2 linked regions of the Ovis aries genome follow. The protein of the gene in region 1 interacts with the protein of each later gene in a pairwise test. Links are inferred from orthologs where the notes say so. Each region holds a gene or a part of one and is shown in the gene's direction. Other genes may lie near its edges.

What was found.
Region 2: the proteins of ZNF385C (region 1) and BOLL interact in a two-hybrid assay, tested with the Homo sapiens proteins (2 studies listed by BioGRID). The two-hybrid records come from large-scale screens. The link is inferred for Ovis aries from reciprocal best matches to the Homo sapiens genes ZNF385C and BOLL.

Annotation. Positions count from the first base shown.
Region 1 is NC_056064.1:41,946,880-41,951,158, reverse strand, and holds the start of ZNF385C (zinc finger protein 385C), read left to right. Parts: upstream 1-1,479; 5' UTR 1,480-1,613; coding exon 1,614-1,647; intron 1,648-4,279.
Region 2 is NC_056055.1:200,041,803-200,046,028, reverse strand, and holds the start of BOLL (protein boule-like), read left to right. Parts: upstream 1-1,426; 5' UTR 1,427-1,560; coding exon 1,561-1,581; intron 1,582-4,226. UniProt on the Homo sapiens protein: Probable RNA-binding protein, which may be required during spermatogenesis. May act by binding to the 3'-UTR of mRNAs and regulating their translation.

The DNA of each region.
Region 1 (4,279 bases):
TTCAAAGTGGACACTTTAATGTGGCTTGACTCTTGGAGTGGGAATGAATTCATGCATTCATTCCACAACCCTTTATAGAGCATTTATAGAGCTTAGCACTGGTGCTTCCGATACCTGGAAAATAAAAGCCCTTTCCCCACGGGGGAGACAGGTAAGTGTCTAGGCAAAAGCATTGCATCTTGGGAGATATGCTTAAAGGGAAAATAACCAGGGCCTAGGATAAAGATAATAATAACCTGGCTGGGGAAAGGGGGTCCTGGGGAGGTGATAGTGGAGTTGAGGCCTGAGTGGCAAGGAAAAGGCCTTGTGAAGATCAGGGGAGAGTTCCAGGCAGAGGGAACAGCAGAGACCTCAAGACAGGAGTGAGTTGGTAGACGTGAGAACCAGGAAGCAGTGCCAGGAGCTAGCAAGTGAGACATCACCAGGGCTCCCCATGGCAAGACCTCCTCCCTGGAAGGCCTGTTTCACACGAAGGCTGGCCGGAGCATGAGGTGGGAAGAAGGGCACTGGTCCATATTCTTTAATACAAGAGCCATTCCTATCGCCTTTCTTTGAGACTCTCCAGTAATGGAATGATGGCAGGTTCTGTTAGGAGGTTATGCCATCAGCCCCTGCCTCCTGCCCTCCTCTGCTTGGCTTCATTCTCCTGTCTCATACCCCAATGTGGGCCAGAGCCAGTGCACTGATTCCCTGGGAAGAATCAGAAATGATCCCCAGCCACATACACCAATGATGTTTCCCCAACAGGCCCACTGATTTAATCCCCTGACCTGTGGACAACCCATTTGCTCCTGACTTCATGTGTGACTTTGAGCCAGTTACTTAACATCCCCAATCTTTCATCTCCTGATCTGTAAAATGAGGATCAAACCAGTCTGGGGCAAGTTGTTATGAGGATTGAGTGCCATCCCTCTTGGCACTCAGGAGATACTCCATGAATGTCAGCTTCCTTATTCTCCCTGAGCTTCCCCCACAAAGAGGGGCTGGTTTACAAAAGGGTAGGGAAGGGTTCCCAGGTGGTGCTAGTGGTAAAGAACACGCTTGCCAAAGCAGGAGACACCGGTTTGATCCCTGGGTCAGGAAGAGCCCCCTGGAGGGCATGGCAACCCACTCCAGTATTCTTGCTTGGAAAATTCCATGAACAGAGGAGCCTGGTGGGTTACAGTCCATAGGGTGGCAAAGAAGCGACTTAGCATGCACAGGCAGGGAAGGTCACAGCAGGCCAGTGCGGGGTGGCCAGTTTGGGGTTCCCTCCCCCCAACTCTGGGACCCTTTGGAAGGTGAGGGGCACTCAGGACTGGCCAGCCAAGGGTAGGGAGGCTACTCACCGATGGGTCCAGCCCTGCCGCCAGAAGAGCCCCTGCGTCTCCCCTGTGTGCTGCCCGGGGAGCCCCAGGGCCAGGCCACTTTCCCGACCCGCTCTTCTGCGCTCCGCTCCGGGCGGCGCGGCTCCTGGCACCTGCTCCCCGTGGGCCGCCCAGGGGCGGGCTCCGGGGACGCGGCGGCTGCCCCGAGACGCGCGGGCCCGGGACTCATCCGCCGCGCACCTCCGGGAGCCAGGAGCCGGGAGCCGCCGAGAATCCGGACCGCCCCTGGCGGCGGCGGACGACTGGATGCGGCCCCGCTCGGGTCGGAAGCGCCCTTCAGGTAGGCGCGGGCGCGGGCCGTGGGACCGCACTCCCGGCTCCCCATCCCGGACCGACGCGCCGCTGGGACTGAGCACCCAAGGGGGCCCGCGCGGGGTGGGGGTGTAGGTGGCTCCGTAGGGCTGGTGGCAGCAGCGAGGACCCTACCCTGCCTTGTGTTTTGGGAAGGTGGGCGACAAGAATCACGAGGCCGAGAGGGGGGACAAGGGTGATGGCCAGAACTTTTAGCTCCCAGGAAGTAGGGGAAGGGAGGCTGGCGACCATAGGCCAGGGACAGCGAGACTCATCCCGAGAAGGGACAATTCTCCGCAGACAGGGGGATCGACCACAGAACCTACCTTTTTTGTCTAAGTTCTTTAGAGACTCCAAAAATCAACTCCCACCCCATCAGCCCCTGAGATAGAACAGAAAGGAAGGGGTGGGGGATGGGAGACCTATTGTCTTTTGGGGGTGGGTGCAGAGAGTACACTCATCCCCCCCACTCCGTCACCCCCATCTCCACTATTCACAGTCATTGGAGGCCGCCTCGCCTGCCCCTCCTCCTTCAAGCAGAATGCCTCCTCTTCTGTCAGGGTCAGAGGTAGAGGCTGGCCCTCCTGGCCTTTGTGGGAGGCAGGATTCCGCCTCACCCGCCCCTCCCCACCCACCCCCACCCGCGCCGACAAATCTCAAACAGCCCCGGACCTCTCAGCCCTCCTCCCTCTGGCTCTCTCTCTCTCTCTCTCTGACTCATTCTCTCAGCCCCATCTTGGAAGTGCTGACCCTGGGGCCATCACGATGGGGAGCCTTGTTTGGGGGAGCTAGTGTTCAGGCTTTTGGGGAGTTGGGCCGGGAGAGCAAGCAGTGGATGAGGCTGAACTGTGCCAGGGTCCTGGGCAGGGGCTTTGGTGCGGGTTGGGGGGCTCTCCTGTACAAATCAGGTTCCTAGGCCTTGCCTGGAAGCAGAGGTCAGAAGAGGGGACACTGAGGCTAATCCCCCCGCCCCCACCTTAGAGGCAGCTGTTCTGTGTTACCACTGTGGGCCCTTCGAGGAGGGATGCAGCTGAGATAACAAGAAAGACTTCCTTCCGGAGGGTGGCCAGAGGATCTTTCAGGGGAGAATCAGTGTCCAGGAGAGGCAGCCCTTATCTCTAGGGTGTTCAGAGGAAGAAGGCCCTCTGGGACTCCCAGCCAATAGGGGGTGAGGATAGCCTGGGGGGATGGTGACCTCACCTCTGGACCATTGCTCTTGTCACCTCTCATGCCCTCTCTCTTGCTTCCTTGGAGCCAGAGTGTTGACTTTCAGCACCACTTAGCCAGCTCACTCCTGAAAACCCCAGCACCCAGCCGTCCCCAGGGAAAGGTGACAGGCTTCATCTCTCATCACTTCGGATGGGACAACAGACATGACTGCCTTGGTTTGTCCAGTGGATCCCTCCCACCCCCACCCACAGCAGCCCAGCCTCAGGGCCTCCTGCCTGGCAAAGTGGGGACGTGTGAGCTGGGGGTGGGAATGGCTGCCCCCAGTCGGGCCATCCCACTCCTCTAGGTGGGAGTCTCTGACTCCTTTGGGGAGTCTTGGGTATGACCATGGGTGACCCCAGCTCTCTGGGCCATCCCCTGGGGGTGCCGCTCTGTGGGGGCTGCACAGTGAACACCCTGCAAGGTGTCAGCCTTGGGAGAGCAGAGTGCTTGGTGGTGGCTCCTTGGGGGCCTGTGGGGGGCAGCCAGGCCCAGGAGGGCTCACACTCCACAGGACAAGAACAGATGAGGCCTCTCTTCTTCCAGACACGGCCCCATACTCCCGCCTGTGACCCTGGGAGTGATGGGATGGGGGCTGCCAGGCTGTGTACCCCTTCCCCCTGCATCATAGGATGAGGCCTGTCGTTTCGATTGTGAGCCTCAGTTTCCTCATCTGTAGAGCCTCACAGGGTTGCTCTGAGGGTTAACAGAGGTGATGTCTGTCCAGTGCCCGGAAGGCAATGGGCACTCGCCACAGGGCAGTTCTTTCTCTGTCCCCACCCCACCTTCCTCTGGCTGCTGAAACAGACAAATACAGCTTGGCGTCCCCCCTCCACCCCAACCTTAGAGGCAGCTGCTCCCCGTGGCCACTACAGCACCGCCTGCAAGGGACCTAAGAGATTAGCCCAGCCCAATCCGCTCTCCTTGAAGACAGGGAACTGAAGCCCAGAAGGGCAGGGCTGGCCCGACTTTGGCCAGCCAGCCAGGCTCCCTTCTCAGAGGCAGCGCAGGGGACCTGGCTCGGGGATGCGAAGGGTAGATATTGGCAGACCTGGGGGAAAATACCAAAGTGTAACTGGGCTCATTAAGGATTAGGTGAGGGAGCCCTTCATGCCCTGCCAAAGGCTGGGGACAGGCCTGGAACCCTCCTCTTCTGTTAACCCTTTGCAAAGACAGGTCTTCCCCAAGAACCCCCTTCCCCAGGATGCAACCACTTCCCGCTCTGCACTTGCGGCCTCCGAAGAATTTCTCTCTAGCCATATTTGGGTAGTGCAGTGCCCAAGGATGCCACTGACACCTGGGGCCCCGAAGTCCACTGACACTCAGCAAGAAGGGGTGGAAACGGGCTCTGGAGCCATATCTGAGTGCTCCCTTCCCCCAAGCCCCCTCTACCTCCGTGAGGACAGACACAT
Region 2 (4,226 bases), on another chromosome or scaffold:
TTTGCCAACAAAAGTCTGTCTAGTCAAGGCTATGGTTTTCCCAGTGTTCGTGTATGGATGTGAGAGTGTGAAGAAAGCTGAGCGCCGAAGTATTGGTGCTTTTGAACTGTGGTGTTGGAGAAGACTTGAGAATCCCTTGGACTGCAAGGAGATCCAACCAGTCCATTCTAAAGGAGATCAGCCCTGGGATTTCTTTGGAAGGAATGATGCTGAAGCTGAAACTCCAATACTTTGGCCACCTCATGCGAAGAGTTGACTCATTGGAAAAGACTCTGATGCTGAGAGGGATTGGGGGCAGGAGGAGAAGGGGACGACAGAGGATGAGATGGCTGGATGGCATCACGGACTCGATGGATGTGAGTCTGAGTGAACTCTGGGAGTTGGTGATCGGCAGGGAGGCCTGGCGTGCTGCGATTCATGGGGTCGCAGTCGGTCACGACTGAGCGACTGAACTGAACTGAACTGAATCATAGTGCCATAATCACCATAATCATTACAGAAGTTTACCGAGTTGTGATTGTTTAAAATTGGTTATATATGTTTATATACATAAGTAAAGTGTGTGAAGTTGATGACATATGTATTGATGCATAAATGGCAGCTACTTTTCAGAAGGACTTTTTACAAAGCAGACTTCTTTCAAAGGAAATAGAGCCAATCCAGCCAAGTGGCACAGTCCTCACCCCTGGAAGCTCGCAGGTAGATCCATCGCTGACCCGCTGTGCGGCGGGCCGGCTGTGTTCAGCGGGCGGGCTGTGTTCAGCGGGCGCGGGCCTAAGGCGGACGCCGGAGCTCGGACGGGGCGGCGCGGCGGTTCCCTGCCAAGCGGCCCACGCCGCCCCGCCCGCTCGGCTGGGATGAGTGACGGCGACAACAGGTGCGCCGAGGCGTCTGTGGCTTCTCCGGAGCCCCCGAGTTTGGCGCGTCAGGCCCCGGGGGTCAGGCTTTAACTCTGCAAACTGGCCTCCTCTCCCCGCACCAGCCTTACGAAGTCGCCCGTCAACCGGCTTCTTGCACCTTAGTAAAGCAGCCTCTAAACGCACCGCCACCTCTCGAAAACCCACCAGTCCTAGAAGCCAACTTTTCTCCAAAGGGGAGGAGAGGAAAAGGCGTGTGGTGCATGGAGCTCTGCCTAGCCGTTCGCTGTCTCTTCCCCAGCCGTCCGAAAGCAGACGAGAGTGGCTTGAGAATAGAGCCCTCGATCCGCACACCTCACGCCCGCCCCGACCTGCTGCACGCTCTGCCCTTGAGACGGCCCAGCTCGGCGACCACGGGCCACCGCCGAAACCTGCCCGCCCGCGCCCCTCCCGGGCTTGCGGCGCCCGCCCGCACTGCCACCCGCCGCCCGAGGCTACGTCGTCTGCCCCTCCCTATCCCCGCCGGTGGCAGGTTCAGGCCCCGGGTTCGAGTCTGCGCCCTTGCAGCTGCCACCGCCGCCGTCGCCGCCAGGGGGAGAAAGTCTCCGTCGGGAAGCGTGGTGTTGCTTCCCGGGTGTGAAGGTGCTTTCGAACTGTAGGTTTCTGCGCCTTTCCCCCTGGCTTTTGAAGAGCAGAGAGGAAGATGGAGACCGAGTCCGGGGCGGTGAGTACGGCGGTCAGGGCCCAGAGTCCTGGGCCTCGGGCTAGCGGGGAGAAGGAGCAACGTGGACTCGGTCTGTGAGGGGCTGGAAGGACGAGTCTAGAGCTCGCTATTTTGTCAGCAAGAACCGTGGACAGGGCGCCCCATCGACCGCCATGAATAGCGGCCTGCCTGCAGGCCCGGTCGGGTTGTGTAGTGGGGTCAGGCAGGTGCGATGCCGGGCCTGGACTGGTGTAGACCTGCTGGGAGGTTCCGGGAAGTGTGGGTAACCGGGTCCTGTGCACCAGGCTGGGTTCAGGCTAGAGAACCAGCTTTCCCGCCGAAAGTAGGTTCGGCTGCGTCTTTGACGCTCACTCCAGCCACACTCAGCCTAGCCACCCTCATGAGGAGTTGACCAGGTGGCCATCCCCTCCACTTCCCTACCGGTCAGCGGAAACCAGAAGTCCTGAGAGACCTGGTGGGGGGGCGAGTGTGGGTTATATGGGGCACCTGGGCACAGGTTGGACCTGGACACTCGCGCCCAAGCCAGTCTGGGCCGGGTGGGGGAGGGGTGGGAGACCGAGTAGGCCCGAAGGGCTGTGGCAACGTGCCGTCGCGCCCCACCCCGTGCCCGCCGGCAGCCAATCAGCGAGTGCCACGCGATGCGCGCGGGGCCCTGCTACGCACGAGGCCGGCGTCTGGGTCTGTGCCGTTGAGGATTCCCGCCACTGCTTCTGGCGGGTTTGCGGGACAAAATTTCTCGCTGGCTAGCCTTCTTTTCCCTCCCGCACTTTGGTGGGGAGGGGGTGGATCCTCGAATCGGTGGTCCAGTTCACGATGACTTGAGAGAAACTGAGGAAGTTGTTGCTGCGGCCATTTCCTCCAGCACTTCAGCTTGCTGGCCTCGGAGGGGAAGGAGCGCCGAGTCCTTGACTGCGACGGTTAGCCCGTCTTTTTCCTCTTCTCTTCATTGGCAGAGTAGATGATAAATTTCGAGGTTAATTCTCCAGGGGAGGAGGCAGTGGGGGCACATTACTTTGGAGGAAATTTTAAATAAACTTTTTAGTACTAGAAGTTTTACTAAGCTAAGGACCCTTACTGCTTGCCCCAAAACAGCACCTGGCTAGGTGCTTTTCATACATTTGCAAAATTTTGCTGGCAGAATTTGAGGCATTCTGAATTAACTCAATAAATCGCTAACTGTCTCTAAGGAACTTAAAGATTGCCTCTACCTGAGCTTTGTTACTTCCAAGATTAAAATATTTTCTAGGGTTTTATTCATGTTGTAGTCTTCAGCCCACAACCTAAGGGTTGGTGAATCGTGAGCAAGAGGAAATTATTTATTCTTCATTCAACAAATGTTTATTGAACACCTGCTATATATGGTCTTAGATACTGCGGTGAACAAAACAAGCAAAGTCCTTTTTTTGAACATTACAATATAGTGGAAAGAGATGACAAACGTAGTATAAATTACATAGTGTGTTGGAAAGTGATTAGTGGTAAAGGGAAAAAATAGTTGGAACCCACAATAGAATAGGAACGTTAAAAATTGAACAATGATGTGAATAGCATGTACAAAGTTCGTGTTTTTCCTTCCTCCGTGTTGAGGATTTCTTAAGATTGGAAATAAAGCACTTTGTTCTCTTCCATTCATGTCATTTTTCTCTCATAAAAATAAAACCAGTGGAGTTTTATTTAAATAAATTTGAAAGCAAAAGAGTTCATCCATTGAATTATTTTGTTTTAAAGAAGAGAATTTCATGAATTTTTTTTAAATTTTGCAGATAAGTAATTTTTGCATTCTCTAAACAAATAGGCAGATAGAGTAGATTGTTTCTGCCAGAGCTGTTCAGTTATCTTTAGCAATACAAATCCACAATTGAAAAGTAAAACAAAACATCCCAGAATCATCCAGTCTGGCACTATGTCTTACAGGTGACTGAAGTTATAAATTAACTTTCAAATGCCCTGAGAGGATGCTATTAAGATTGGTTTCCCAGTTTTAACTGGCAGCTACAACAGAGCAATTATTAAATATGATGACTTTGTGGTTTAAAAGATATTTTTATGAACTCCCTTACTAGGGAGCGTTTTTCCTTCTTAAGACTAGATGGACAATAGACCCCAAAAGCCTATAGCCTGGTAGTCACCACTGGCCTAGATATTTCTCTGTACATCTTGCAGAGATTAATTTTTAGGGATTATGGCTTATTGGCTAGTAAAGTGAAAGGAGAGCAGTGTGAAAAAGAACAACTCCATTATCTAAGTGGGAAATTCATTTTCATGAGTTTGTTTTTCAGAGAATTTAAGTCGTGAACTTCAAGCTTTTTGAAGCACTCTTCGAGTGTCTCAGAAGTCTCTTTAGTGTTCTTATAAGGAAAATAGGAAGTTGTTATATTTGTTTCTCTTTAAAATTCTATTCCCAAGTCTTGTTTTTTTTCCAGTGTACCTTAAGAGTCTATCTACTATTTTGTTATTGTGCAAAGGCATATATGTTAGTTGTTATTGTTTTTATAGTTGCTAAGTCATGTCCAACGGTTTGCAACCTCATGGACTGTGGACCACCAAGCTCTCCTGTCCGTGGTATTTTTCAGGCAAGAATACTGGCATGGGTTGCCATTTTCTTCTCCATTACTTGTTAATACGTATTTATTAACATCTGAATT